Linked DNA regions of Rhinolophus ferrumequinum. The protein of the gene in region 2 binds, or shares a complex with, the protein of the main gene of each other region. Links are inferred from orthologs where the notes say so. Each region holds a gene or a part of one and is shown on either strand. Other genes may lie near its edges. The genes, in order: MEAF6, EPC1, MORF4L2 and KAT5.

Region 1 (7,256 bases), on a different chromosome or scaffold from region 2:
ATGAAAGCTTTGGAATTGGAAGCTTCATTTGGTCTCCTAGGTGAAGTTTCCAGTATATTTATCAAATGGGAAACAATTTTAAGACAGTTAATTTGTTCACATGTACTCTAAAGTTTTACAGTGAATTAATTCACTAAATCAATAGTTGCATAAGCTTACCATGCTCGCATTTGATTTACAGCTGTGAGTTAGAAGCAGGGAGCAATAATTTAGAGGTGGGCTGCACCATGTGCAAGAGATGGCATTTAAGGTATGCCTTAGAAATGAAGTGGATTTTGCATCAGTAGAGGAGGGCATTGTTTCAGACTGAGCAGTCCAGGGGACAGCAGAGCTGGAGTGGAGGATGTGGAAAGGATCCTGTAACATTAAGTTGTTTACCTGAAGACCCACAGCAAATTAGTGGTAGAGCTAGGATGAGAACCCACCTCAGTCCTGGTTCAGTGGTCTTTCCTCTGGACTGTGGCTTCCCATCTCCCTAGCAGAGCTTAGTGAAGAGATCTGAGGAGGGAAAAGACAGCTGGTGCATTAGGCTGTCCATTCATAGGGGGTTCAAGGAAATCACAATGGCTGGGATTTCCAGGGATAATGAGGGGCTCAGGCAAATCCTCACCTCACCAAGTCATAGCCAGAGCTGCTTGGAAATCATTATGTTGATTCATAAAAGTAAACAAATGTTCAATAATCAGGTAGCTGAGAATTGCCATGAACTGAGACCTCAATGATAAAACTGGCTAAAACTTAGGCGTACTTTCTATGTATAAGGCATAGTTTTAAGCATTTTACATGTACATTGATGCATACCTTGATACCTTCACACTTCTTCCTCATAATCCTACGAGGCAGGCTTCTTTTATCATTTCATTTTGCCGATGCAAAAACTGAGGCACAGAGTTGTTCAAGTCACACAGTGGTAGGTAGGACCGGGATTCAAACCCAGTCACCCTGGTTCCAGATGCCACATGCTTAACCACTGTGATATACTGCTTCTTAGAGCCATGAGAGTTAACAAGATCTGGCCGTCAAAGAGCGATATAACCAGTGCTAGAGCTACAAACAGTGCTAGCGAGGAGAAGCAGTGGGGATTATGGAAGAGAATAAGTATAAGCACAGAGAATAAGCACAGAGAAATAGTATTCAACCAAGCCTTAGTCAGTTACTCAGAAGAGGCCAGTGGGGATGAGGAAAGAAAGGAATATGAATTTCTAGGCAGAGAGACTAGCACTCAGAAAGATCTGAAGTAACAAACTAATGAAACTTTGGAAGCACTTGAAGTTCAACAGGGAAAAAAGGGTGAGTGAGACTTCTTTCTGGTTTCTGAACCCTCCTGCTTGAAAGTAGCTAAAATTTCTGGATAAAATATAAGCAAAACAATTTCTTAAAGCATTCAAGAACCTACAAATTAATAAAACAGTTGTTAGGCAAAAAGTGAAGATAAATAAGAATCCAGAGAGAAATGGACTGTAGATGTCTGGAAGCCACATTTGGTCTAAAGGCAAACCACATTTGATTCTAGGAAATCAGATCTTACCCTAGCTTGAATGGGACAGAAATCAAAACCCAAAGCCCACAGGCAATAGTCTAATAGAACATGATTCCCACAAAAAGCTGGTCTATCAGAGGTCTATAACTTTTAGAATAAAAGAGTGGATCAGAAATTGAATCTTCCCAGGTATTTATAGCCTGGAAGCTCAGGAAACCTCGGGCCTTGAACTTGGTTTAGGATGACCCGGTGCCTCCAGGTGTCTGAAACAAATGAAATTCATCTTTGGAGGAAGGGACTTTTTTATCTCCCCTCTAGTTATTTCCACATTTCCCCCCAAAGATACAATTATTTTTATTAATGAACAAGAAAAGGCACTATAGGTGAGAAACAACAGAAATAACGGGTTGGCCCGGTGGCTCATGCTTCTAACTCCGAGGTCGCCGGTTCGATTCCCACATGGGCCAGTGAGCTGCGCCCTCTACAGCTAAGATTGTGAACAACGGCTCTCCCTGGAGCTGGGCTGCCATGAGTGGCCAGCAGCCAGCGTGAGCCGCTAGATGAAATGGACCAATTCTTCAAAAACCATAAACTACCAACATTTACCTGATAGGAAATAGATTATCTGAATAGTCGTACAGATATTAAAGAAATTGAACTTGTAATTAAAAAGCTTCTGAAAAGAAATATCCACACCCAAATGGTGGAAGAATTCTACCAAACATTACAAGAAGAATTAGCACCATAGTGTACCTTCTTTTCTAGAAATTAGAAAAACAGAAAATACCTCCCAACTTATTTTATAAGGCCGTTATTATTTTGATACCAAAGTCAGACAGGAAAGTACAGACCCTACACACCAATACCCCATGAACTTAGCCACAAAAATCCTCAGTAGAATATTAGCAAATTGAATCTAGCAATATATAAAAAGAATTACACAACATGGTCAAGTGGGGTTTATTCCAAATATGCAAGGCTGGTTCAACACTTGGAAACGAATCTGTGTAATCCACTACACCAAGAGGATAGAGAAGAAAAATCACAATCTGACAAAATTCAGATTCAGGAAAAGAATCTGACAAAATTCAATACCATTCATAATTAAAAACTGTCAGTAAACCAGGAATAGAGGCGAACTTCTCAACTCGATAAAGAGCATCTACAAAAACCTTACAGCTAACATCACACTTAATGGTGAAAGACACTACTTTCCTAAGACAGAGAAAAGGTTAAGGATGTCCACTCTGACCACTCTTATTCAACAGAGAACTGGAAGTCCCAGCCAGCACAGTAAGGAAAGGAAAGGAAATAAAAAGCACACGGGGTGGAAAAGAAAAAATACAACTGCCAATTTGAAGAGGAAATGATTATCTGTGTAAAACATCCCAAGGAATCTACAAAAACACCTCCTGAAACTAATAAGGGAGTTCAGCAAGATCCCAGGTTACAAGATCAACACACAAAAGAAATCCAGACTGTAGCAGAGAGAGACAAAAAAGATAGTGGGTAAACAAAATGAAGGATTATTATGTTTAATCTAGAAGGAGACAGAAAATGAGGCAGAGGCATTATCTGAAGGAAAAAAGCTGAGAATTTCCCAGAACTGGTGAAAGATACCAAACTATAGATTGTAGAAACCCAAAGACTTCCAAGTAAGGGGAAAAGGAAGAAACGAGGAAGGAAGGAAGGAAAAAGAAAGGAAGGAAGGAAAGAAGGAAGGAAGGAGAAAGGAAAAAAAGAGAAAAAAGAAGAAAAAAAATCCTATCGAGATTAACGATAGTGAAATTTACATAACTGAAAATTGGAGAGCGCTGAGGCTGGAGAAGCAGGGCCCAGGTGAAAACAGTGAAGGAGACTGCACTTAATGAATAAAGCTAACACTCACATAGTCCTTATTACTTGCTAAGCCCCTTTACAGACATAAAGTGATTTACTCCTCACAGCAATTGTATTAAGTAGGTACTATTATTACCTCCATTTTAGAGATAAGGAAGTTGAGACAGTGAAATTTGGTTACTTGCCCAAGGTGGCTCAGTTTATCAGTGGCAGCTAAGGTCGGATTTTGAACAAGGTAGTTCTGGCTTCGGTTTTCGTTCTTAACCACCACACATACAGTACTTGTCTCTCTAAAGGGCAATGAGAAGCCATTGAAATGTTGAAACCAGGGGAGCGACACATTCGTTTTCCAAAAACAAGTTATCCTGGCACCACTGTGGATGAGAGATTAAATGCAGTTTAAGTGTGGAAACAGGAATCTGTTGGAATAATGTAGCCAAAAATAGGGAAGGCCGGGATGCCCGAGGGAGATGGCAAACACAAGTAAATAGATTTGCGGGCTCTTCCAGGGTCCAGGGAACTTCGTTTTGTATGGGATGAAGGGGGTGAAGGAATGAGGCTGATGCCCAGGTTTTTGACTTGGGCAACTCGGCGGGCCGTTTAAGTCATTCGCTGATGTGACTTAGGAGGAGTCTGGTTTTGGCACGGTGAATTTGCAGCGCCTGGAAAAGTCAGCCGTCCCTGAGGGGCAGAAATGCCTGTAGTGCCAAGACTAGCAGATTGCCCCACCACCGCGGGCCTCCAGGTGAGCGCGCGCGGGACCGAGGCCCAGAGCGCCGCCAGGCCGCGTCTCCGGAAGCCGCGAGCGCAGGCGCAGTGCGGCGCGGGCGCCCCCTGGCGGGCGGCGGCGGGCAGGGACCGCCCCCACCACCCGGCGCCGCCGCTGCCGCCTCAGCCCAACATGGCGATGCACAACAAGGCGGCACCGCCGCAGATCCCGGACACCCGGCGGGAGCTGGCGGAGCTCGTGAAGAGGAAGCAGGAGCTGGCGGTGAGGGGCTAGCACCGGGGACGCACGGCGGAGGATCCGCGCCTGCCCCCACCTCCAGGCCCCAGCCCCGGCGCGCCAGGCCGTTAGGGCGCTGCGCGGCGGCCGACAGTCCGGCGGCCCGAGGCTGGGCTGCGCATTCCGCGGCTCGCCGGCGCCTCGGCTTCCTGGCTATGCGGGAGCCCGGGCCCCGAGGGCGGGGCGAGAAGCCAGGAAGAGGAAGGAAGACGGGGAAGGGGGACTAGGCGGGCGGGGGGCGTGGAGGAAGGATGGCGCGTGGGGCTGGGGTGCTTAGGTGTGGGAGCCGCAGAAAGGCAGTGTCCGTGAGCTTTGGGGGTGGGTGAGGGCGGGCGGGTTCGCAATCTTTGAGTGGGGGGGGCGGGCGTGTCGGTGGGCTGTAGGGGATTGGTTCGGGCTTGCCTGTGGGCTTTGGCGGGGTGGGGTAGGAGGCGTCTGTGGAAGGGGGACCCAGTCATCCAGTCTGGTCTTTGGAGGATGGAGGGGCGCATGTCCTTTTGGGAACTAGGAGTAGATCCATTGGATGGAATTTTTGATGGGCAGGGATGTGATGTGTTTGGGAATATCTAGAAGGTGACAGCCGAGGGGAGCGGATTCAATCTAGGGAATAGGAATGTGACCCAAGGTCTCATGCACCCTGGTGGCTAAGCCCTCCCTACCCCCCTGAGTCTTGGCTTGGGCACCTGGGAGGCTCATCTCACCTGAAGCTGCCCTTCCAAGTTTCCATAGCAACTGGCTGACCATTGCAGGCAGCCTTTTTGAGCCTGCGGGGAGGGGAGCGACTTGGCGCTGGAAGGCTACTCGCCCTTCCCTCCCCACTGGCATTACCTTTTATGAGTGGAGCCTGCCTGAGCTGGGGTTTTTGACAGCTGTGTTTCCATGAACCCTCTGAAGTATACACAAAATTTTGCATGTATGTACATTTTTCAGGGGACAGGCTCTCTATATTTCATTCTATTCTCAAAAGGATCCAACAAGACAGGTCTAGACTGTCTTAGTCTGAAACAGCTTGTCCCTTCACATACCATCTGTCTCTCCACAAGGGTAGTTGAGTGTAGTTGTGCTTGAGTTTCTAAGTCTAATATTAAGGTTTCAGTTTGGTCAGACTTAATGTTTGCATTTAAAAGGCATTATCCGTTTCCCTGTTTTTCATCTCTCAGGAAACACTGGCAAACTTGGAGAGACAAATCTATGCTTTTGAAGGAAGCTACCTGGAAGACACTCAGATGTATGGCAATATTATTCGTGGCTGGGATAGGTATCTGACCAATCAAAAGTGAGTGTCAGAAAGAGTACAGTGTTTGTACTGTGACCTACTAATACTTGTTTTTAATGCTGTATATATTGGTGGCAACTTTGCAGGGAGGCAGAACTAAGTAGCAGTGTGGAAAGAGGTTTGCGCTTGAACTTTGCACTCTGGCTCAGCCTCGCTGAGTCATCCTAGACAAAGCCTACATCCATAGACTGGTCGATAGTACAGGGGTGTGAGAAGCTGAAATGAAATACAGCCTATCCTACCTTACACAACAGCATTCTCTTAGTGTCTTCCACATTTTAAGCAGTCATGAGTTCCACCGTCACAATATTTGCCAGACCTGTGTGCCAACCCTACCACTATTTATTTAGTGCTATTAGTCTTGAAAACTTTCTAAACTTTTTGAAATTTTTAAAATCTATAGAAAAATGGAAAGAATAGTACATGAACACTTGAAACCCTTCGCCGACATTCACCGATTAACTTGCTGCATTTACTTTCTTGCTCTTTTCTCTTTTTCCTCACTATTATATAAACACACATACCTGTATTTACATTTTAAAAACATTTTGTTTAAATTTTGAAATCATTATAGATACGTAGGAAATTACAAAAATACTACAGAGAGGTCCCATGAACCCTTCACCCAGTTTTCCCCAGTGGTTTTTGTGTAACTATAGTACAATATCAAAACCAGGAAATGAACGAGTACAATGTGTGTGTGTAGTTCTGTCATTTTATCATTGTGTATAGATTCCTATAACCACCACTGCAATCAAGATGCAAAACTGTTCCATCACCACAAAGATCTGTTATGCTACCCTACCCCTGTGTGATTGTATCTCCCTTTTGCCCTATACTTTGGGTTTTTTTTTTCCCTAAACCATTTAAAAGTTAGAAACAGATATCATGACACATTGTCCCTAATTATGTCAGCAATTATCTCCTAAGAATAAGAACATTTTTCTTAGTTAACCACAGTTATCATGTCTAGAAAATTAGCACTACATTAAAAGTATCTTCTAACACACAGTGTTTATTCACATTTCCCTAATTGTCCCCAACATGCTTTGCTACCTTGTTTTGATCCAGTCAAAGTTTTTCATTGCATTGATGTTTCTTTGGTTTCTTAATAAGAGCGTCTTCCACCCTTTTTGTTGGTGAAGTTGTGGTTTACAACATTGTCTTGTAGATTGTCCCAATTCTAGATTTTTCTTACTGTGACCTCATGAGCGATCCTTTAAACATTTTTGGCAGAAATGTTGCATTAGTGATTTGTGTACCTCTTGTTTACCTTTATTTTATTAGGCAGCACATAATGTCAGATTGCCCCATTATTGGTGCTGCTAAGTTTGATGATATGATTTCTCCATTATGAAAGCTTATTTTTTCTCTTTGTAATTGACAAGTAATTTTGGAGCTTATACTTTTAGACAGTGGGAATATATTGCTCCCCACAAATTTTATTCACTGGTTTTATTATACATTGTTGATTCCTACCTGAATCAGTTATTATACTGGAGGTTGCAAAATGGTGGTTCTAATTTTACTGTTCCTTTTACATTTATTACTGGTATTCTGAAAGAAGAGCCTTCCCCTTTTATCTTCTCTCCCTTTCATTCTATCTCTGTCTCTCTTTAGTATCACTATAGACTCGTGGATTTATTTTTAAATCG
Region 2 (7,727 bases):
CCTAATTAAGTCAGTGTTCAGCTTATAAAAATTGGTTACATGGGAGTATATTAAGTGTTCCTTTTCCAGAATTTCTCTCAAGTTTACCATAGAAACAAACTATGGTAAAAATTACCAGGTATAGTTCACCTCACAGTTTTGCAGATACATTTTGATCATTTCATGAAATACTTTCTTAATGAAGTGGTGTATACAAAACTGTTCTTATCCAAAAACTGTCCCATCTTTCATGATCAACATAGGATTATGCTTTTTCTAAACGAGACACTCAATTAAGGTTATAGGTCACTCAACCTAAGAGACACCCCAACTAATGTGTCAAAGGCAAAAGTTTGTTTAAACTTTTTGTCTTTATAAGTAAATCATGCTTCAACAAATTATTAAAAAAAAATTTGTTTCTCTAAGGTTTAGTCAGAATTCAATTACGTTTATTTATGCTTAGTACACATTTTCTTAATTGTGTAACATGCTACTTTCAATATTGTGATTTATATAGCCACTACCACCAGCATGAGCCACAGGAATATAGAACAGCTGTTTACCTGGTACTGTTTATATTCTTCTATTAAGTTCAGTATCTATTCCTGAGGTCTATGCTTCACTGATCATAGTTTTGGTTGGATGTGAAGTGAAACAGAGGATAGAAAAAGGTAGTGAAGGGAAAAAAAAAAATCTCTTATGGCCCGCAAACAGACTCCACGTGTGTTACAAACTAATGAGATCCACTGCGCTATAAAATGTCAAAGTATTTCAGTGAAGAAAAAATTATCTGTAATATTTAACAAGCGTATTGCTACCTGAGTTGATCTCAGCTTTGATTTCAGGTTGTAGCTCTTGGTCCTCTCCAAGACTTAACTAAAGCAAGACTTAAATAAATTTCTAAAGTGTACTGTAGTGCTATCTTGCTTTTACCAGGGTTCTCCCCTTCCTTGGCTGCAAAACAAGAACTACAAATTAATTTCCAGGGCAGTGTAACACCAATACCCCAAATTTCAAGTATTATCTGTAAAACTTAAAAATAGAAACAAAAATAAAACCAAAAGACAACATTCTGCAGTCACAAGTACTTTAATTTTTAAAAACAAATCACTCATTTAAAAATGAACAAATGGCACCATTCTACTCTGTTGATACAAGTAAATTTAGAGTTCTGTCTCATAATGTGCTGCAAGTCGGTACTACATCCGACAATCTCAACTACTACATACACTTAACACTTAGCTTATCTGTAGTTAGATTTCAGACACTACTCTCAAAAGTAACATTCGACTGTCACAACTATTTTACTTTAAAAGGTTGAACAACCCAAACAGTTTAAACAGCTTTATTTTCAAAATCAACATTACAGAGCATAATTTCCACATTTAAAATTCTTACAGTTACCAATAGAGGTATTACAGTACAATTTTCCACAACAAAATTGTAGCACACAAATCCAGCGACTCCTCGACTTCCTTGAACTGTCAATACACTGCACCCTGTTTAAATGGCTGTACCTGAAAACCAAGGAATGCAATTCCTTAGGATTAGAAGTCATCAAGTTATACTGTCAAGGATCTGGGGGAAATGAGAGGAAGATTCTATTATCCTTGTGTCTAAACCCAACTTCTATAACAAGGTAAAGCCACAGCTATGATCAAATGTCTATTAGCTGTAAATATTTAAATACTGAAACCCACCTAAATTAGGTATCTCGATGTTAAGATTTCTGTGAATGAATTCACTTCAGTTCGATTCTGGATGAGAAAAGTCCCTCTTTCAAAATTTAGATCTGTAACATCTACTTAAATTGGGTGTTTTCTCTCCCCACGTTGAGAAACCAGAAAGCATGCGAACTTAAATTTTATTTTTAAAAAAACCCAATAATAATGAAGTTACATGTTTTAGAAGAGCCACGCACTCCAAAAAAAACAGAAGAAAAACCTGCAACATACTCTCAAGGATCAAAGGAAAACTCAGGGACGTTTATATATCCTCCGACTAACTAGACTTGGGAAGGGATGGATGCAAAAGTCCCAGAACGAGGATACAGAAAATGAGTCTTACATGTTATGAAAGTCAGTCGTCTGGGCAAACAAGCAGTACCCTCGACATTTCGTTGCAGGGAAGGAGATACAAGCCTCAAAGACCTACAGTCAACATTACATGCCCCTGTGAAGCTCCACGTGGGGGCCGCACTGAGCCTCACAAGCTTTCCCCGCCACCGGGAACTGAAGTACCCCTACAGGACACAGAATCTGCGCTCCCCGGCGCCGGCAGCGCGCGAAGGCCGAGGTGGCCCTAGAGCGCCACCCAGCGGCCCGCGGAGCGGCCTGCAGGCGGGTCCTCCCCGGCTCCCGGATCGCCGCACCCCCACCGCCACCCAGCCCGTTCCTCTCCGGATGCACAAGGCCCAACCCAACAACTGAGACCACAAAATGGCTGCCGGCAGCTTCGTCACGTGACCCCTTTGTGCCTTTTGGGTTCCCGAACTCCGTGGGACCCGGGTACAAGTGGCCGGGGTCGGCGGGTGGCCTCAGTGGAGACCCCGCCGGGCCGTGGCGGCTGGGGGTCGAGGCCGGGGGAGGCGGGGTAAAGGCCCGGCCGGCGACTGAGAGTCGGCGGCGGAGAGAAGATGGCGGCCATTTTGTGTGGGTTTGCTGCTCCGCCGCCGCCGCAGGCAGCAGAGGGAGCGGGGCCTGGCGGTGGGTCGGACAGGGGAGTTAACACGTACCGACTCCTCTTCCTTCTCCATTCCGGTGGGCATCTGCGGCACGGCCCGGTTTATCGAGGCGTATTCGTGCAGGTCGGGCAGATCCTCACAGCGGAAAACCGGCAGCGGCTTCGAGGCGTCTAGCGCCCGCGCCCGAAACGACAGTTTACTCATCTCAGGCGCAGCAGATACCTCTCCGCTCTGGGGAAACGGCCCCGGCCAGCGGGATCATGGAGAACCGGGGGTTCGGTCCCCACTCGCCTACCGCTGCCGGGGACTTGAGGGGCGGAGCGCAGAGCCCGCCGTCCGGGCACTAACAGCAGCCGGGAGGGTGGGAGGCTGTGCCGCTCCGCTCCTCTCTCGCTCGCTCTCTTCAATACGCCATGGCCAACATGGCGGACATTAAAACTCCACTGTGCGCTCTTCAGCCAACCCCAGCCATTCCCCACACTGCATCGCGCAGCGGCGCGGGCACGCGGGCGCGGAGGGGGGGGGGGGAGCGCGGGCTCGAGCGGGCGCCGGCACGGAGCGCGCGTCCCGCCAACCCCCGGCGCCCGCCGGCCGCGCTGTCCGCGCCTGGCTGCTCGAGGCCCCCGCCCTCTGCGGGTCTGGAGGCGGCCGGGGCGGAGTGGGCGCTCGGACGCCGGGAGCCGACTCCCCGCGCCTCCTCTCGCTGCCCGCACTCGCTCACTTTCTCACGCTCGCTCGCTCGCTCCCAGCGCCGTTTGCTGACAGGCGAAGGTGCAGGGAAACTATGTGCACCGCACGCCGGCTTTCCGAATGGCCACGGCGGGAGAATTGGCTGGGCGGCGCTATTGCCCGGGACAGGCGAGCTCCGGCACCTGTCACCCCCGCTCGCAGCCGGGATCGGGGCAGGGGCGATGCCGGAGGCCACGGCCGTGGGCGGTGGGGTTAGGAGCGGCGCTCCGGGGGCGCTGCGCACCGATGGCAGTCTGTGGGTGATACATAGTTATCGCTGCGTTTTAGGTCCTTAAAACAAAATGCAAACGAAATTAGGGGCAAAATGCTACTTCAGGTGAACTTTCGCCAGCAATTATTTTTACGTCTAAGGAAAATGGATTATAATATTTGAGAGGCTCCGCAACAAATCACTGGTCAGTTCCCACCTATCGGGCTCAATATAAACGGTTGTTACCCTACTCTGATATAAAGTAGGGGTTTTTTTTTAATCCTGCATTTTATCTACTCATATTCACTCTTTTATTACAATTGAAGCAAAGGGGATATTTATTATCAGATAAATGTTTAAGAAAAAAATTAAAGTAAGACCTTCAAAATTTTAGAGCCATTTGTAGCTCATGATTTTTGTTGGTACTGAAAGAAAATGCTAGTTCAACATAGTTAATGAATTGACACCATTTATTCTCTGAAAAACTTTATAAAATTGAATCATACAAAGATCTGTAGTGCTCCTGCCAAACCGAAAAAGAGTAAAGGAAAAGCTGTATTAGAGAGCTTTAGATGCATGTGCTAGATTGTTAATATTTGGTTTATATTACACACGAAAACGGTTATGCCCAGAGAGCTCTTTCCAGCAGAGTATTTTAAAAATCAGAAAGACTGTTTTAATGGGATGGGTTTAATCAGTTTGGCAGCAAAATTTCATATGTTCACTGAGATACAAAAATGTTTCTTTAAGTCTGCTCTTCTCCCTGGAGGCTACATAGTAAAAATAATCATTACTCAAATACTGGGTTGGATAGGAACTGTTACTAGCTTACAGCCCATAGGCACACTGCTGTCTTTCAGGCTGATTTAGCTACACCTTGGTGGGGAAGACACAAGGTGAGCAGAGACTGGAGTTCTCCAAAATTATCCTAAAACTCTAATATTGACAATTCACCTCTGTGAGGCAGAGGGATTTCCATTTATACTTCCTATACTAAGACTGTGCACTTAATCTTTCAATGAAAAACATTTATTGGGCCCTCATGGCCTAAGTATGCTGCTGGTTACTTAGCACCCATAAGGCTCCTGGAGGAGCTAGCACAGTGGGAGAAGGACCTGTGGATGGCAACTGCCACAACTGATGTGAGGCAATCGTGGGAACAGGCAGGAGTGGCACCCAATCCATGGGGAGTGGCTCTAATGAAAGCATTCAGGGAAGGCTTTTTGGAGGAGATGATATCTGAGAAAAAAATACATCGGATAAGTACGGGTTAACCTTGCAGAAAAATGAAGAGATGAAAGGTATTTTAGGCAAGGGAAGGAGCATGTGCAAAGACTCCAAGTCATGAGAGACAATGTCACAGTCTGGGATCCTCAAGAATTGTCAACTGCACTGTGGAATAAGACACCTATCAAGCCAGGTTTAACAGTTCTGAAAATTCTGGCTGAATGTTAGTACAGCAGTCCTCTTCAGCCGACTGTGTTAGATTTCTGAAAATCCTACTAGTTGAATTTGGTTGCTTGAGGAACCTAAGACTTTATAGAACAAAGTAGTCTTAAGTCATGAGTGAACCACCAAGGAAACGAACATAGAATATTTAACCTTCATTAAAATAACAGCCTACAGATAACATGTTCCACACCCTGCATTAGTAATAATGGGCACTATACAACTAAGTTTCTTGTTCCCTAGAAATTGTAGCATCACCCTCCACAGCAAGTTGAGATATATGCTTACAAATTAAGCTTGCCCTTTTTGCAGATAACATGCCTGCTAGGAGGCATCTTCTTTCTGCACTGGTTCCTCATCCAGCCTCAATGCTCTGGATTTCTGACTTCCAGGTCCTACTGGGTTCCCAAGGACCCAAAGGCTGGAGTCCCAAACCTCTTATATTCAGTTTACTTCCCTACCTTCTAAGGGGCAGGAGTGCAGCAATAAAGGTTCAGGTTTAATTTTCTTGAGCTTCCTTTATCTAACCAAAAGTTTCCTTGCACAAATGGCTAATCCTGCACAGTCTTTCACGTTAACTCCTTTTATTCCCCTAAAGTTCCCTCTTTTTCTAAGTATCTCCAACAATGGTGACATAAAATTCTCAATGGTACAAAAGATGCATACTAGCGTAAAACTGAATACACTAACCTTTCCTCAAAGGGAAAGTTTTTGTTGGGAAGGAATTTGCAGTATTTAAAATACTTTTGATTCATGCCATAAATATTTACTGAATACCTAGGCAACACACAGTACCATCATTGTAGGGGATATAAATAAAAATACTGATAAAGGTTAATCAAATGACCAGAACAAGGCAGCATGGTGAAATGCAGTCAGGGAGTTCAGAAGGAAAGCAGTCAGTTCTAGCTGGATTGATCAGACATGGAGAAGTGAGCAGGTGATGTGGTTGTGAAGAATGACTAAGATCCCAACTGGTAATGGGAATGAAATGGTAGGAGAAAGGGTAGTCATGGTCCAGAGCAACAGTGTGAACAAAATGGTGGGAGGAGGAAACTGGCAGGTGTGCTTGAAGATGAGAAAGTTTACTTGGCCAGAGTTCATAGGAAACTCCAATAACAATCCGGGTAAAACTGGTAAGAACTTGGGTGGAGGGAGTAGGAGTAGAAAGTAAAGAGACAGAAGTTTTAATGGTAAAAATGAAACTACTTATAGTATCATTACCCTGAAATGTGATTCATTTCAATTTGTATCAAATACAGAACTTCTGCTTAAACAACAAAATAGAATGTGTCAAATGCACTGCAGTTTGCTGCATATAATAAACCTGACGTATGGCTCTACATGTTAGTTTATGTCCAATATGTGCCCAAGTCCTTTTATTTCTTCTTAAAATTGTTTCTGGGATTTGACTCATTATTTCCATTCCCATTGTCTTAATCATATCTCAGTTCTCATCACGTCCTACCTACAAACAACCTCCAATCCATTTTTTAATTCATTACTTTGATAAACCTTTATTAAGCTCCTACTTTACAAGAAACTATGCTAGTACTCTCCTAATAGTGGCTAAAGGGAACCCACAGTGGCTAGTACAAGCTGTGGGTCCCTGGGACTATGAAGAACACAGTTCAAACTGCCTTCAGGGCTTCATAATGCATGCCACCAAATCCAAGTGCCCAAAACCCCACCTCCATCTGTATCCTCCCTTCCCCATGTCATTTATTTATAACTGCTCTTTATTTTGCTATTCCACAAAGCCTTTGCTTTTTTTTTTTTTTTTGGTATAGTTGTCAAAGCCTCATAATTTTGCCTCGCTGTATATCCAACAACATTTCTCATCACCACCTAAGACAAGCTCCTCATCTTTAGAAATCAGCATGTCTTTCCTGCCTCCAGGTTTTTATTCATTCCTTTCTCTCCATTCTTCCTGTCTGGCTGCAGACCATCTACTTCTACTGAAATGCTACCTTACATTTTTGAGGATTAAATAAAACAACCCATGTAAAGCATTTAGAATGGTCTCTGGCCCACAGAAAACATTCAGTAGATATCAACTATTGTTATTATCCCTCAAAATCCAACTCAACTATCACCTCCTTCATGCAACTTTCTTTGACTACTCAACCTCTCTGAGTCCTAATTTCCTAATCTGAAGAATGAGTGAGTGGGTAGGTGAATTCAAAATAATTCTTAAGCCTATACCAATGTTTTTCATCTGTGAATTCCTATTACACTTTTAATCAGTAAGAATAATAACTACCATTTTTGAACATTTACTATGTGCCAGGCAATGCAGAAGTACATTTTAAATGTACAATTTTTGTGACAGCCCTACGAGGTGTGTCCTGTTAGAGAGGTTGCGAGACCTGCCTATGGTCACAAAGCTAGTGGGAGGCAATGCTGAGGCTAGAATACCTGGTGTCTGGTTCCAGAGTGGAGCCCAGAAACCAGATTATAAAGTAAAGTGAGGAATGAACTGGAAGTGAGGAAAGAGAGATGTTGACTGTAGCCTACTCTTTCAAGAGGCTTGGCAATGGGGGGAGCAGGGGGCGGGAAGAGGGGAGAGGGAAAGGGAGACGGAGAGGGAGGTGTAGCTATTCAGGCCACTGGTTTTATTATTTCTGAAGGTGGGAGAGATGTGAGCATGTTTGTATGCTGAAAGCAAAGAATAAG
Region 3 (7,946 bases), on a different chromosome or scaffold from region 2:
TAATTTAAATTCAGTAAGTCAGCATTTGCTCTTAATCACTAAATTATGCTGCATATGGGATGCCACAAAGTAAGAAAAACAATATATGGATGTATGGAACTATCAGGGATCAATTGTAGTATCTTTTATCAAGGAATGTAAAATTACACAGTCCTCTGTTTTTTAGGCACTTTATATACTGGAAGCACCAATGGACTCAGCTCCACCCTACTCAGAATTTAGAGTGATTTCCCAGATAGACGCTTATTAATCTTTAAAATATTCCTGGACAGTTAAGAAGGTTATGTGGAATGATCTTGCTTGAGAACTGAGGCCAGGAGAAGGGAGACACTTACCTAAGATTCTGTAATCAGGATCAGATCTTCTGATCCTTATTATACAGCAAACTTAGCTTTTCTGATAATGGCCTAGAAGGTTAAACAAGGGGACGGGAAAGGGCACAAAATAAAGAGATATGAGATGATGGTTTTCTTCTCTGTCAATCAATGCATTTTATCACACACAAAGGGCACCAAAGCTGATAAATAATGTACAAGTGTTTCTTTTTCAGTTCTTGTGGTTACATTTTCAAATTTATTGTATCTATCCTGATTTTTGATAAAGTAATTTGTTTTCGCTTTTGGTTTTTACTTTTCATTAGGGAAAATGTGAAATGCATAATATCTGAAATTATGTAGAAGGAATATTATAAACCCACAAGAATCTATCATCTAGCTTCAACAATTACCAACTGAAAGCCATCTTGTTTCATCCATAACCCCACCCACTGCTCCCCCCAACTCCGTTTTTAAGCTCACCAAATAACTGAGTTTCTGTATTTTATGGGAAATTTCCAACACATACCAAGGAAGACAGAACAATATAAGGAACTCTATATGCCTATCACCCAGCTTAAACGATTAACTTAAGAGCCAATTTTGTTTCATCTATACCCCCCCAACTTCCCCCTATTGCTGAGATTATTTTGAAGCAAATCCTAGTCATCAACGTATTTTGAAGCAAATCGCAGACATTTTATTATTTAATCCGCATTTTCGTATATATCTCTGTAAGATAGAGACAGTTTGAAAACATAACCACAATACCATTATGACGTCTTAAAAAATCAACACCCATTCCTTAAAAACACATCAAATATCGAATACGTATTCAAATTTTCCCGATGCATCTTAAACATTTTTTTTTTTTTACAGTTGGTGTGTTTGAATCAGGATCCAAACAAGGCCTACTCATCGCATGTGGTTCATCTCCAGCTCGCCCTCGTTCTCCATCTTTCTCCCCCTCCCCCCTTTTTTTAAACTTTTCAATATGGAAAATTCCCATCCCCGCTATTTTGAGGTAATTCCCAAATAGCATATTATTTCACCAATAAAGATAGTTATGTTTCTCTTATATCTCTAGTTTCTTCTAGGGAATAAGTTGATGGGCAGGAAAAGCACTATAATGAGCAAATTTACATAATTTGTTTTTTTCTCATTCTGTTACGCAGGTTTTTCTGTCCACAATAACAGTTAACATCTTTCGGAGCCAGGCTTCCCATTAAGTGCTTTATACGCACTAATATACATAGTACACGCCTCTGAGGTACACGTCTCTGAGGTAGATACTATTATTATCACCATTTTACAAACATGGAAACCGAGACACAGAAAGGAGCCAGCCCGAGCTGGGCGTTGGCGAGTAGGAATCTGAATCCAGCTCTGCCCGATCGTGAAGCCATGAGTTAATCTTGCCTAGATACTCGACGAGAAGAGGAAATCGTCAACCCTTTCTCCCCACCCCCACCCCGAAACCTGAAACGAGAATCCAGCTCTTTCCAGCAGCCGACGTGTGCTCACTGCCGTCCCTCGAACCGCCATAGTAAAGCCAGGTTTCTCTGGCAACTGATATCCATAGGCAGACACGTCACCCTGGAGGCGGGCTCATGACCTTCAGCCAATCACAGTCGTCTTGTCTAAGTTTTAGAATGTTCCATGACCAAATGATTGGACGAGGCCAATCACGTCACAATGACACTTCGCCGCAGTATAAGGGGGTGCTAGCAACCTGCTTCTTCATGGTTAAGACTTGACGCAAACCAATCATCTTCTCCCTGTAGTGCGGCTCTGGCCAATAACGTTCACCCTCTTAGGTTCTGAGCCCACCCTCCAAAATCGCAACTGTAGTTGGGTCATAAGTCTATAGGGCAGGGTGTTCACGTGGCCTATTTTCACGACCCAGAGTTCCCCTGACCAGAGGTTCTTTTTTTCTTTTTTTTTTTTTTTTTTTGCAGGGAGGCATTATGGGTTTTCATTCCCCCCACTGGGAAAGGAAGTGTCTACGTGGCCTGCGGAAACAGGATGGGCGGAAATGAGCTAAGGTTCCCGCGAGTGGGGAAGCGCGAGGTCAAATCTGGGGCCACGCCCCTGAACCACTTGCGCAACTCTTGGAGAAAAAGAGGCACAACGGGGGTGGTGGGCGTGCGGGCGCGTGGTGGTGGGGCTAGTGTGGATGTGCGCGGACGAGCTCGCGTGGTCTTGGGATTGGGGTGCGTGCGCTCCAGCCCTCGTGGCGCTGGACGCGGTGGGTATGCGCAAGCGTGCGCGCCTAGAGTCGGGGCCGGTGTGTCCCAGAGCGAGGATGTGCCTGCGTGCGTGTGCGTGCGCGGCGCGTGTGCGTGCTCTATACTGAACATTTTCTTATGTTTGAAAATTGTTCTAATGAAAAGGAAAACAAGCCACGGCGCCCATCATAAATAACGGGCCTTTGTTAGAAATATTTCGGTCTCCCCTATCGATTCAATTTTAGACCCTAAAAAATGTACTTCTCACTTTTTCCGGCCACAATCCTTTTCTAAACCGTAGCCCTCCGATGGTTAAGAGCCAAACAAACCCACGCATTCCCATATTAGCAATTCCAAGGAGCAGCTTTTCCTGTTTGCTAGTATCGTTCTTCCACTTCTTCCCCGAACCCCCCCCCCCCAATTCCGTGTAATTTTTCTGGCACAAACAAAATTTTCTGCTGAAAATATCTATACGATAGGCTTCCCCTCCACTACGAGCTCCGAATTTCTGTGGCGGCGGAAGCTCTCACCTTTTTGTCCTGATCTCCAAGCACAGTGCCCTTTAAGCAAGTACGCACTCAGTTAATTTTCCAGAAAGTTCTCTGGGTGAGGGTTATACCTCTTGAGTCTGCCACGAGGTGCCGCCAAATCCCAGCAAAGAATTGCCTATTTGGTCCCTGGAATGATGGGATTTTTATTCTCCCCCTTTCTGATTTCTGAACTCTTCAATCTATAGGGATCATGTATATCTTTCATTGCTAGGGAAAATCAAATTAGCTTTTATAAATAGCTCTAGACAGGGGACTATGGCCCTAGATCTAAAGGTTTTTTCATTTCTTTCCTCCTTAAAAAAAGCCCCCCTTCCATCCCTCTCTTCTTCCTTCTTTGCCTTTTCTTTTGGGGGAGGGGGGACGGTAAGAATTGATGAATGTCACCAGACACTAACGCTGATGAAGATCCTAACCTTTCTGTGCACTTTTTCAAATGCTCAATATCCCGTCCCCCCCCCCCAAAAAAAAAAAGAAACCCCAGAAAATAACAGGTGGCTGGTTAGTCAGTAAAGACAGATAAGAGCTTGGACCCTGGCATTGAAAACTGACCTTCTCTTCCTCTTGAAATTTTTATTAGATATGTGTGTTTGCGCCCTATTTTCTGTAGTGGTACTGCTAAACTTTATTACGTCTTTGGAGTCAGAGACCTAATTTTAAACCCCATTGCACCACTTACTAGCTCTGAGAAGCCCGGGCAAACGATTTATGTTCTGTGTTCCTTAGGTTTTTGCATGCTTTCCATATTTTAGATGCTGTGTCATATCCTTTACATATATGTTATTTTATTCTTCACAAAATCCTTATTAGATGGGTAATAAATCAAAATCGAACAACAAAAGTTATACCTCTTTCAGTTATCAATCATGCGCGCGCGCGCGCTCGCACACGCGCACACACACTGGGAGGGAGGCGGGATTTAGAGCAGTGGTTCTCAGTGTGTTTCCCAAACACGTCAGTACCATCATTATCACTTTTCGAGAAGTTGTCAGATTCAGATTCTCGGGCCCCATCTCAAACCTAGTGGATTAGAAATTCTAGGGGTAGGGTTTGGCTGTCGCTGTTATAACAATCTGTTTGGGTGATTGCAATGCACACTGAATTTAGAACCACCGCTTTGGAGGGCAGAGATGCAGTGCTTATTTTTCTTTGCTCCACTAGAGGGTGCTACAGAATTTAAAGCAAAATAATAAATGATATATGTTTTATTGAGATACCCTGCATATTATCAGTCCCGTTATACAGATTAAAAACTAATGTGTAGAGGTGTCAAATTATTTTCTCAGTGCATACAACTATGGGAACCAGGATAAGAATTTCACCTGTTTCTCGAGCCCAAGCCCTTGACAGTACTCTTTTGTTCAGCCATCATAGCTTATCTTTCTGGGCCTTAAAATACATTACAGATACCTTGTTCTCTGCTTTAGCTATGTTGACTGGAGCATCAAGAAGGGGGCAGGAAAGCAAACTAAATAAATGGAAATATTTTAATGATTTCATACTTTCCCTCATCTCCATTCTATACTATCACATTAAAGCTCATGTGTTTCCCTTCTTGCTTTTATATTTCCCAAATGCTCTCTACCCTGCAGTTATCTTTTTTAGTTTATTTCTGAACCTCTCCTATGTGTGTGTGGGGAATCAGGGTGGTGAGGAAACACAGTTGTTGCAAGCCTATTATGGGCCACACTATATGGCTCTGTGCCCATTAATCCCAACAATAGGCCTGTAAATTAGGTAAGGATTTTCATCATTTTATAGATCATGAAGGTGAGCCCCAGAGCCTATAATTATTTTTCTTTGGTCATATAACTTGTAAGAAATAGAGCCCGGGTAATTCCTGGTATATCTGACAGTACTACCCTGCTAAACTTTCTACTGCTTGGTTTTCAATGTGATTTAGTGTCGTGCGCAGAGTCCAGCGGGGTCTCTGGTCCCGCTCCCCACACAAGAACGCAGGATATGGCTAGGCCAAAAAGGAACACCCACGGAGCCATAGGTAGGGGAGTCACACCACTATACTCTCACTGGCGGCTGGGTTGGAGACACAGGAACCAGGAGCAACACAATTCTCAACCCTCACTGTGCCGCTTGCAGGCTCAGCCACCATCTTCTTGCTAGCCCCCATTTTCTCTTTTTGCTACTAGCCTAGCCACGGCAGTTATATTCATGGCTAATGGCTCACTGGTTACAGCTGATGGCCAACTAGCCACAGCTGCTGGCCATTTGATCACAGTCAATGGCCATTTACTACCTGAGCCAGCACCTTTCTATGTGAGGCCGAGAGCCTGGAAACTGCTTTTTGGGGCTCTGTCCCCACATTTAGTTACTTAATATTTATGTGACTTCCAACAAGTTCTTTAACTTTCCTGAGCCTTAGTTTCACTGTATATTAAGTGGGAATAATTATTCCTCATAATCTTAGAGCTGCAGTATCCAACATGGTAGCCACTAGACATATGGGTACTTAAATTTGAATTAAAATTAAAAATTCAGTTCCTCAGTTGCACTAACTACATTTCAAGGGCTCAGTAGCTACTTATGGCTAGTGTTAGTACTGGCGGGTCCCTGGGCAGGCCTCCCCAAGATAGCTCACAATGGCATATTGATTATTTCAAATTGAAATCACTTGAGAAGCAGCAGGAGCAGGAGGAGCTCTCTGACTCTCCAAAAGCAGGAAATAAATCTCCATGTAATAGGTGCTCTCCCTTCTCCTGAGGGCTAACAGACAACCTTATCACAAGAGTTATAAAATCCAGAATCAAAAAAGCCTATATAAACAAACTTTGTGAATCCTTTACTAATTTACTACTTAAGCCCAAACTGCTTAGATTCCTTTCTAATGAGCACTAACTTTCTTTGTCTTGTTCATTGCTCACAGAATTATTGTTTCTTTGTCTAAAAAAATAAAAAGGTGCCTAGTTTGATAATTTTTTAATTAAACTTATTGGGGTGACATTGGTTAATAAAATTATATAGGTTTCAAGTGTACAATGCTATAATACATTATCTATATATTGCATTGTGTGTTCACCATTCAAAGTCAGGTCTCCTTCTGTCACCATATATTTGACTTCCTTTTGAGCCTTGTTTTGTGACCTGAGCATCATATTGTGATTCTCTCGTGTGCACGTATTAAATTGTTTTTTTTCCCTGTAAATCTAGTCTTGTGTCAATTTTATTATTTTACTGTTGGTCCAGCTGTAAGAACTAAAGAAGGGTAAAAGTGGGGGATTCTCCTCCTCCCCAATGGTACCATATTAGATACCAAGAGATAAAGAACATTCCCACCATGACAGAAAGTTCTATGGAACAGTGCTGATTTAGACTATATAAGGTATGTAAAAGGGCCTAGCATAGTGCATATTCATGGCATGTGCCCAAGAAAAGTGATTCCCTGATCTTTCCTTTCAGCATCAGAGCTAGGCAGGTTCTCCGGTTTTATTGATAGGGTCAGGAGAGGGGAGTAACTTACCCAAGGTACTATAACGGGGATGCGTCTGCCATTAGGACCCAAATCTCCTGACTCTCGCTTCCATATTCTGTCTAGTAGACTCATCCTTGTGCTCTACTGACTGAGGTCTCAAGGCCAAGGGTGTGAATAATGTGAATTAACTTCCGAGTCAGGGTAGTAGCAGGAAAAGACACAGCTGAATGTCTTCTAGGTATGTGCCAGGCAGCACTGCTCAGCTCTTTACATCGATTGTCTTAGTGAATCCTCACTGAAGCCCAGAGAAGTTAAATGCTCACTCCAAGTTGCCAGCTAATAAATGTCAGAACAAAGATTCTGACTTCTCTCTGACTCCCAAGCCCATGTTTTTGTCCCATTGTGCCATGTTACCGTCTCAAATGTGAATACTCTCCTGTCCCTTCCACTTACTAGTGGGATGAAGCTTCAGCAGATTCCTGACTCTTAGTGGGTCCTCAAAATGGGAGTTAACTCTTCTTTGGAATTTACAGCTGAACCACTGTCTTCACAATCTGCTTCAACTGGAAGGGAAAGATAGCGTAAGTCAATGTTTGTTTGGCTTCAAGGCCTGAACAAGACTATTTACAGCCCCAGCCTTTACAGAACATTCAGTGGCTCCAAGATCTCTATGTCACTTTTCGAGGCCACATTTGCTCATTCAATCCCTTTGTGCTGATCAGAAGCATGTGACACCTGGGGGGCAGATATTGTGCAAACAAATGATCAGTGGAACAATGAGAAAAATACTTTTCCTTCTCAGGGATGTTGGAGCTTCACCAGGGCAGCTGAAGAATGAATTTCAACCTCCACTTGTTCCATTTCAGTTGGGTAATCTTGTGCAGGGTGCAACCTTCCCTGGCCATCAGTATCTGCTGGCTTTGCGTATCTTACCTCGCGGCTAAGAGAGCCTTCCTAGGTCTGGAAAGTAGTGCTCAGTCTGTTCTGGAGGGTGGTCAGGGACATCAGTGTCCTCGCCTGTCTTCCGGGTGGAAGATAAAATTGCTCCCTTCTAAGGTCAATTGGATATTTTTTCACTTGGTTCTGACTACTTTATGGGATGATTTTTAAAAGAATGTTTGGTTAATTTAAGTTAAAAAACCCTAATATTTCAAGGCTAAGCAGAATGGTGTTTCTTTAATAGTAGTGTTTTTCTATCTATTTATACCTGCCTCATTCCATAGGGATTTCCTAAAACCAGTTCAGCAAATTAGTCTGCTTCAGTCTAGTTTGCTAGCCCAGGACAGACAGGGCAAACAATGGAAATCGTCTTGGGAACGTTTTATATCCTTTTAGTGGTATCCATTCTCTCTCAGCTACTCTCTCCTCCTGTAATCAACCCCCTCCCCGCTGCTCCAACTGACCCATCCATTTGGCAGAAATAGGTTAC
Region 4 (7,497 bases), on a different chromosome or scaffold from region 2:
CTTGAAAACTGACCTAGTAGTCTACAACTGAGGTGAAAAATTCTGGAATTTAACAAAATATCAGCCTTAGGAGTTCCCCCAGGAGAATTCTTTTTGCTCCTTTACCTCTAAACACAATTGTTCCTGCACCAGACATGGCTCCTTAACCACCTGCTGGGCACTGTCACTTGGACGCCCAAGTCCCCACTTATAATATAGAACCAGCAGTTAAAGCAGCAACTTCCTCTCAAGCTCCCCCAGCACCCAAGCCAGAGCTCTCCCCCGCCAGTCAAGATGCCTGCCTCTCCCCCAGCACCCTCTGGACCCCAGGAATGAGGAAAGTCTCTCTTAAGGGTCCCTCCAGATTACTCCTTCCTCTCCACAGCCATAGACTAAGGCAGGTTTGAAGCGCCAAGCCTATGGTGTTCCCAGCTCCTCTCCAACTGCCATTCCCACCCACCACTTGAGCTCTGTCCCTTCTAACAGCCTTGCCTCTTTCTCTCTGCCCTTCAGCCAGAAGGGTCTTTGCCTGTCACACCACCTGTACATCCACGCCTGCCCTTCAGGACCCCACTGCTTGGGACTCCCTTGCCCACCTTATTCTTTATGTCAAGGCTCATAAGTCACCTTCTCTGTGAAGCTTTGATGACTAGCTCCTCTGGGTCCTAACAAGCCACCCTTTGTTTCATGACATTTATCACACTGTTGGCACGTCTATTTTCCCTATGGACTGTGAGCTCTCAGCAGAGATTTTATCCAATTCCTGGTTGTCTATACCTCCCAGCACCTGCCCTACAGCAAGAACTCAATAAAAATGGGTGAACTGATCTGCTGGCCAGACTGTTCAGTGTTTTCCTGAATAGGAACAAGGTGCTCATTTGACTTTCCCCGAACCCCAGCTCCAAGATTTCCCTATTGTCCTTCAGCCACTGACCTTGTTCTTGCGTCCATCGATCTCAAAGAAGGAGATGGTGCCCTTGCGGTAAATCTCATTGCCTGGAGGATGTCGCAGGTCACACTTGGTCTGAGGAAGAGAGAAAGGTCAGGGGTGGGGCAGGGTGGGGGTGCTAGGAGGGTGGCCTCCTGGGACCCCTCATACCAAGTGGCGCTGCAGACACTTGAGGCTACGGCCATACTTGAGACAGAACTCGCAGAGATAGAGGACGGGCAACGTGGTGAGCTCCTGTGGGTACGGGGAGAAGTACCACGGCTTGAGGCGGTGCCGGCCCAGCTCGATGCACTCAATGTTCTTCATCCGGGTGACGATGTCGTCGTGGCTCCGGTCGGACACCAGGCTCCCAGTCATGCGCGGGGCTGATGGAATTCCATCTGAGCTGTCCTGGGAGTCCTGCTCAGGGCCAGTGGAAGACACCGTGTTACGGGAAACACTACAGCTCCCCCACACGTTTCCTTGTTCAAGCCTAACCTTCGAGGGAAGTACTATAGTTCCCACTTTCCAGATAAAGAATGCAAGACATGGAAAGTTTTCATTCAAAACTTGGGAAAGATCACCCAATGACCGATCTGAACCAGCTCTGCCTGGCTCCCAATCCCAGCAACACCATGGCTGCCCAACACTCCTTATTTTTAAACTAGCCACTAAACTTGCCACCCCGCCCACCTCTCCTCCTTTTCATCCAGCTTCCCTCTTCCCCAGACCTACCTCATCAGTGCCCAAGCAATTTGATTTTCGCTTCCGTCCTGGCTGCGCTGCAACTGCCCTACGGGCTGATCCATTCTGTAGGTGAGATGGTAGGAACAGAAAGGGTGGCTGTGAGGTGAGTCTGAAAGGGGCTACCGGGAGGTAGAAGAAAGAGATGGTTTGGAGGACTCACCTGGGGAAAAACTGAGGCTGGGGCTGTCTCGCTGGGCACTGGAGTTGCTGGTGAAACCACCTCCACCTTCCGTTTCTGCAGAGAGAAACCAAGAAAGGTGGGTCAGAAGGTAGAGAAGGTGGGACCTGAGAGGAAAGCAAGGTCCCTGGAATTGCTGAGGGTACCGTTGAGCGGTGGTTGGGCTGCAGGCAGGAGCTGGAGGAGAGCGGCTGGTCGGGCTCGCCACCGGGAATGGCCTCCCGCTCCTTGGGCAGGTTGAAGCGGAGTGTGATCTGGACCGGGATTGGCAAGGTCTTCCCGCTGGCCTGGGTGGAGGCCGGCTGTAGAGATAGGTCCAGGGTCTTCCTCTGGGGTGGGGATGGTGGTAGGATGGGGAAGGGGAATAGGGGCTCCTCAGCATGGAGTGATCAAACCCCACCCGCTGCCCTCTCAAGGACACAGGAATAGCCGCTGGACTCTAGAAGCTACATCTGCAACTTGGCCCCCATTCTTTACAAGCTGAAGCCAGGGTGGGAGGGTGTGGCCTGCTCCAGCCCATCCAGGAGCCACTGAGGCCAAAAGATGAGAGAAGTAGGAGGCAGAAGAGAAGAGGTGAAGTAGGGGACCTACTCACCACCTCTCTCTCTGGAGAGCCGGGGCGGGACCCAGGAAGTCCGTTCTTGGTGGGGGTCTTGGCCTCTTTCTTGGGGAATTGGATCTTCTTCAGGTCCAGCCTTTCGTGGGTCACCCATTCATCCAGGCGTTTGTTGACTGCAGCAGTGGGGATGTCTCAGGAAGCAATGCCAGAGACTGCCTCCCAACCCTACCCTGCAGCCCCTCCTCACCCTGGCCCAGCACTCACAGTCAATGTAATGTACGTAGAAAAGCTTCCGGCCACTAATGTCCTTCACGCTCAGGATCTCGGCCAGGGCTGTGGGAACAGCATAGGCAGGGGCGTTAGACCCGCCAGGCCATGAGGCTCCACCTTCCTAAGACCTGAACTCCACCCCCAGGCCTGATCTCTAAGCCCCAGCACTTGGAAGCTATCACCCAAGCCCCCTTTAGTCACCCAGTGCCAACCCCTCTCCACGCTCCGCCCTGTCCATCTCGGAGTGGCTAAAAGCCACGCCCCTCCTGAGTATCTGCGCCCCGCCTGCCCCAGAATTCTCGAAGCCCCTCCCCCTCCCAAGGGTTCGGTTGACTCCCGCCCCTCGCCCTCAGGTTCTTAGCCCCGCCCCCCGACGTCACTCACGCCACTCATCTTCGTTGTCCTGGTTCCGCCGCAGCACCGGCAGGCGGCAACCTTCGATTATCTCCCCCTGGGGAGACAGCGCGGCGCCAGGGTCGGCTACTGGGGGGCCTCGGGCTCTACCCACCTCCCCTGGCTCCCTCCGCCCCGCCCCGGGCACCGGACTCACCACCTCCGCCATCTTCCCTCCCTCCACTGACACTTCCGGCCCCTCTGGGAGACGTCACTTCCGGGACTGAGTGTGCAGTAGGCCCGGACCACCGGACACCGCCTTAGAAGAGACCCTTGAAATACACCGCCGCCCAGCTGGAAGCGGGGAACCGACCTGTTTGGGGGACGGGAAAATAGGGTGTTTTAAGTCTCGGGTTGGGTCCTGGGAGGAATCTCCATAACGGGCACAACGATTGGAGGAAAGCTGAGTCTGTCACGTGACGCCCACCGGGTGCGACGCCGGTCACGTGGACGCAGCGCGGGTCACGTGGGCGTAGTGTTTGTGCTTTGGGGGTGGCGGGATTCCAGCGTCTCTAAGTGGCGGTGGGAGAGGTCACTCGCTGTGAACTGCGAGTGCTCGCGGGGGCGGGGGGGGGCGGGTCTGGAGAAGTGGGCGGGACTATGAAGGGAGTTCAATGCCTGGCCAAGTTTGTGGATTTCATTCGTTAAGGATGGGGACTCACGGAAGGTTTCTAGATTGTTTTCTGTATTAGGTTTCTCACTATAAAAGTAATACAACATTATTCATTCATACATTGAACAAATGTTTAATAATGTAACGTGTGCCAGGCACTGTTCTAGGATCTTGGAATACATCAGTGAATAAAATAGAACCCTGCTCTCATAGAGCTTACATTGTTGGGGGTTGGGTTTATATAACAAAAGTAAATATATTAAAAAGTAAATTACTTAGTTTATTCAAAAGTGATTGGAGAAACCAAAAAGAATGAACAAGGTAAAGGAGATGGGCAGGTTGGTTGCAATTTTAAATAGGGTGCTGAGGGCAGGACTGATGGAAGTGTATATACTTAAGGAAAGATTTAGAGAGGGAACAACGGAAGAGCCTTGCAAATAGTTGGGGGTGCAGGGGACGTGGGGCGGAGTACTGTTTCAGAAAACTAGACCACAGTAGGGGGAGAAAATAACCTCAGATCATCATGGGGGACATTTCCACCATGAACATTTTGGTAGAATGTCCTGTAAACTAGGGGTGGGCAAACTAAGGCCTGCAGGCCAAATCCAATCCTTTGCTAGTTTTCCTACAGCCAGTGAGCTAAGAATGGTTTTGTATTTTTTAATGGTTAAGAAAACAAAAGAATATTTCACAACAAATAAAAATTACGAAATTCAAAGTTCAGTGTCCACATATAGTTGTATTGGAGCATAGCCATACTTTTGATTCATTTACTTTTTGTCTATGACTGCTTTCACACTAAAATTGAATAATTGTGTCTGAAATACAAAGCCTAAAATACTATCTGGCCCTTTACAGAGAATGTTGGCCACCCCCTGCTCTATAAACTATTGTGCTATCTTTTGAATACAAAAATAGGTTCTTCCTGTATATACTGTTTTGTGACCAGCTTTTTCACTTAGCAACATAAATTGAACACTAGTCATTAAATATTCTACAGCACAGTTTTAATGGCTACATAGTGTTTCGTTATTTAGATGCACCTTAGCTGCCATAACTAGTTGCCTGTTAGCTATTGTTTTTTTCTTTGTTTGTTTGTTTTGTTTTTCTTTAAGATTTTATTGGGGAAGGGGAACAGGACTTTATTGGGGAACAGCGTGTACTTCCAGGGCTTTTTCCAAGTCAAGTTGTTGTCCTTTCAATCTTAGTTGTGGAGGGCACAGTTCAGCTCCACGTCCAGTTGCCGTTGTTAGTTGCAGGGGGCGCAGCCCACCATCCCTTGCGGGAGTCGAACCAGCAACCTTATGGTTGAGAGCCCACTGGCCCATGTGGGAATCAAACCGGCAGCCTTCGGTGTTAGGAGCACAGAGCTCCAACCACCTGAGCCACCGGGCCGGCTACATCTATATATGTATGTATGTACGTATGTATGTATGTTTTAAGAGGAATGTTGGGGAACACTGTGTTTTTCCAGAACCCATCAGCTTCAAGTTAAGTCGTTTTCAATCCAGTTGTGGAGGGCACAGCTCACTGGTCCATGTGGGAATTGAACCGGCGATGTTGGTGTTATGAGCACTGTGCTCTAACCAACTCAGCCAACTGGCTGCCCCTCTTCAATCCATTTTGAGTTAGTTTTTGTATATGGTGTTAGGTAAGGGTCCAACTTCATTCCTTTGCTTGTGGCTAGCCAGGTTTCCTAGCACCATTTGTTGAAAAGACTGTCTTCATTGAACAGTCTTGGCACTCTTGCCAAAAATCATTCAACCATGTATGTGAGGGTTTATTTTTGGGCTCTCTATTCTGTTTCATTGGTCTATATGTCTATCTTTATGCCAGTACCACATTGTTTTGATTACTGTAGCTTTGTAGTAAGTTTTGAAATCAGGAAGTGTGACTCCTCCAACTTTGTTCTTCTTTTTCAAGATTGTTTTGGTTATTCAGGGTCCCTCAAGGTTCCATATGTACTTAAGGATGGATTTTTCTATTTCTGTAAAAAGAGAATTGAGATTTTTTTGACATGAGAGAATATGTAAGATGATTGAGGTTAAGTTAAAACCCTGTAGTCCTAAACTTGAAAAGGAGATATGAGTATGAATTCCTGGTGCATTTCATATAAAAATATACATACTCATATATATTGCCTAACTGTTCACTGAAAAGGTCCATAATGATTGACCCACTAGCAATAAGTATCCCTAGAACTCAGACTGTGGTCTCTAAATACCATTTCCCAGTAAAAGGAATCAGAATTCCTCAGAAAGCTGTCTGATTCCAGATCTTGGACACTATTGGAATTGTGTCAAAAGGACCGAAGAACCAACTTCAGAAGGTTCCCAGTGGCCAAAGATGGAACAATTTGAACTTCAATAAGAATAATTAAAACAGATTAAAGCATATCAAGTGTTTAAATCCATGCATTAAGACTTTTTTAAAATGCATGCATTAAATTTTGGAGGATGCTAGAGAACCAAGGCATTATTTTGAAAATTGATAATGGGAAATTCTATACCCTAATAAATCACTTTTAGGTATATACTGAAGAAAACTCCTGGATACATGTACAACAGGAGACAGTCACAGGAATGTTCTTAACCACACTGCTTGTAATAGTGAAAACTGGAAGTCCAAATGGCCATCCGCAGGATGAATAAATAAATAACCTGCGGTGTATTTACACAACAGAATAGTATGTAGCAGTAAAAAGTGAATGAACTATGAAACATAAACCTTAGTAATATGTTGAGTGAGAAAAGCAAGTAACAAAAAACAAGATACTCTCTTCATAGAAGTTCAAAAGTAAGCGAAACCAAGCAACATATTTGTGTAGCCATGTATATGAGTAAATTTTTTTTCTTTAAAAAAAAACGTCAAGGGAATAACAAACAGAGAATTCTAGATGGTGGTGCCCTGGACACCGGGATGAGGGGATGGACAGATGTGGAGCACCGAGATAGATGTAAGTTCTGGTGGTGTCCTATTCAGCCCCTTGAGTTTTACAGTCAGCACAACAATTCAATTTATTGATTTGTTACAAATATATATGAATTTTTTAAAAGAGGATCATGCAAGGATCAATGATGATTGTGTGTCATTAACCAAAGATTATAAGTAACCCATTCTGTGGACTTGAAAAGTCAGCCTCCTCAAAAAAGTAAACTGACTTTCCTAATCCTGGCCAGCCACAGGAGAAACTGAAATGAGTGGGAGGGGTGGTAACTATTTTCACTTTTCTTTTCCTGTTTTTTCAGAGCCTGGTAAAGCAAGTCAGAATTTCCAATCTTTTCCAATTCCCATAAGATTCCTTAATTTAGAACGAATTCAGAGAAAATAAAGTCTTTTTCCATCTGGAGAAGGCTCCACCGCCTGCGATGGAGCATCCTCATTCTGGGATGAGGAACCGGTCGGGGGTGGAGGGTGCTCCAGCCCCAGCCTCCACCCTCATCCCGCACGAACGCCGCCTAGGGCTTGAACTTGGGGACAATATCCCCCTGAGGAATCACATGACAGTTAATCAGTGGAAATGGTTTAGCCGACGGCTGGTCCCTTGCAGGAGGTCCTAGGGAGACGACGGGCGGCGTGGGGTGCGGCGGCGAGACACGGCGAGTTCTAAGCGGCCCCTGGGGGTTCCGGACCTTCTCAGATAACAGGCGTCAGGTGGCAGAGACGAGGCTCCAGTTGATATACCCCTGGGCGCCTTATGCTTAACCCATTGCCACCGAGGGCCGGCAGTGTGATGCACCTTAAACTGGTGTTTGAGTTGGAAGCGAGAAGCTCTCGGCCCGGTCCGCCCGCGATAGCGGACGCAGTACGGAGCTTCTGTCGCCCCTTGC

What was found.
Region 1: EPC1 (region 2) and MEAF6 share a complex: the UniProt entries of both Homo sapiens proteins name them as parts of the nuA4 histone acetyltransferase complex. The link is inferred for Rhinolophus ferrumequinum from reciprocal best matches to the Homo sapiens genes EPC1 and MEAF6.
Region 3: EPC1 (region 2) and MORF4L2 share a complex: the UniProt entries of both Homo sapiens proteins name them as parts of the nuA4 histone acetyltransferase complex. The link is inferred for Rhinolophus ferrumequinum from reciprocal best matches to the Homo sapiens genes EPC1 and MORF4L2.
Region 4: EPC1 (region 2) and KAT5 share a complex: the UniProt entries of both Homo sapiens proteins name them as parts of the nuA4 histone acetyltransferase complex. The link is inferred for Rhinolophus ferrumequinum from reciprocal best matches to the Homo sapiens genes EPC1 and KAT5.

The regions. Positions count from the first base shown.
Region 1 is NC_046292.1:26,211,048-26,218,303, reverse strand, and holds the start of MEAF6 (chromatin modification-related protein MEAF6), read left to right. Parts: upstream 1-4,157; 5' UTR 4,158-4,220; coding exon 4,221-4,310; intron 4,311-5,485; coding exon 5,486-5,601; intron 5,602-7,256.
Region 2 is NC_046288.1:3,683,423-3,691,149, forward strand, and holds the start of EPC1 (enhancer of polycomb homolog 1), read right to left. Parts: upstream 3,154-7,727; 5' UTR 2,867-3,153; coding exon 2,714-2,866; intron 1-2,713. UniProt on the Homo sapiens protein: Component of the NuA4 histone acetyltransferase (HAT) complex, a multiprotein complex involved in transcriptional activation of select genes principally by acetylation of nucleosomal histones H4 and H2A.
Region 3 is NC_046284.1:51,249,049-51,256,994, reverse strand, and holds the start of MORF4L2 (mortality factor 4-like protein 2), read right to left. Parts: upstream 3,092-7,946; 5' UTR 3,073-3,091; intron 1,977-3,072; exon of another isoform or gene 1,794-1,976; intron 408-1,793; 5' UTR 336-407; intron 1-335. UniProt on the Homo sapiens protein: Component of the NuA4 histone acetyltransferase complex which is involved in transcriptional activation of select genes principally by acetylation of nucleosomal histone H4 and H2A.
Region 4 is NC_046294.1:6,048,452-6,055,948, forward strand, and holds the start of KAT5 (histone acetyltransferase KAT5), read right to left. Parts: upstream 3,239-7,497; 5' UTR 3,224-3,238; coding exon 3,046-3,223; intron 2,725-3,045; coding exon 2,656-2,724; intron 2,565-2,655; coding exon 2,428-2,564; intron 2,162-2,427; coding exon of another isoform or gene 2,135-2,161; coding exon 1,979-2,134; intron 1,890-1,978; coding exon 1,815-1,889; intron 1,718-1,814; coding exon 1,643-1,717; intron 1,328-1,642; coding exon 1,079-1,327; intron 1,004-1,078; coding exon 914-1,003; intron 1-913. UniProt on the Homo sapiens protein: Catalytic subunit of the NuA4 histone acetyltransferase complex, a multiprotein complex involved in transcriptional activation of select genes principally by acetylation of nucleosomal histones H2A and H4.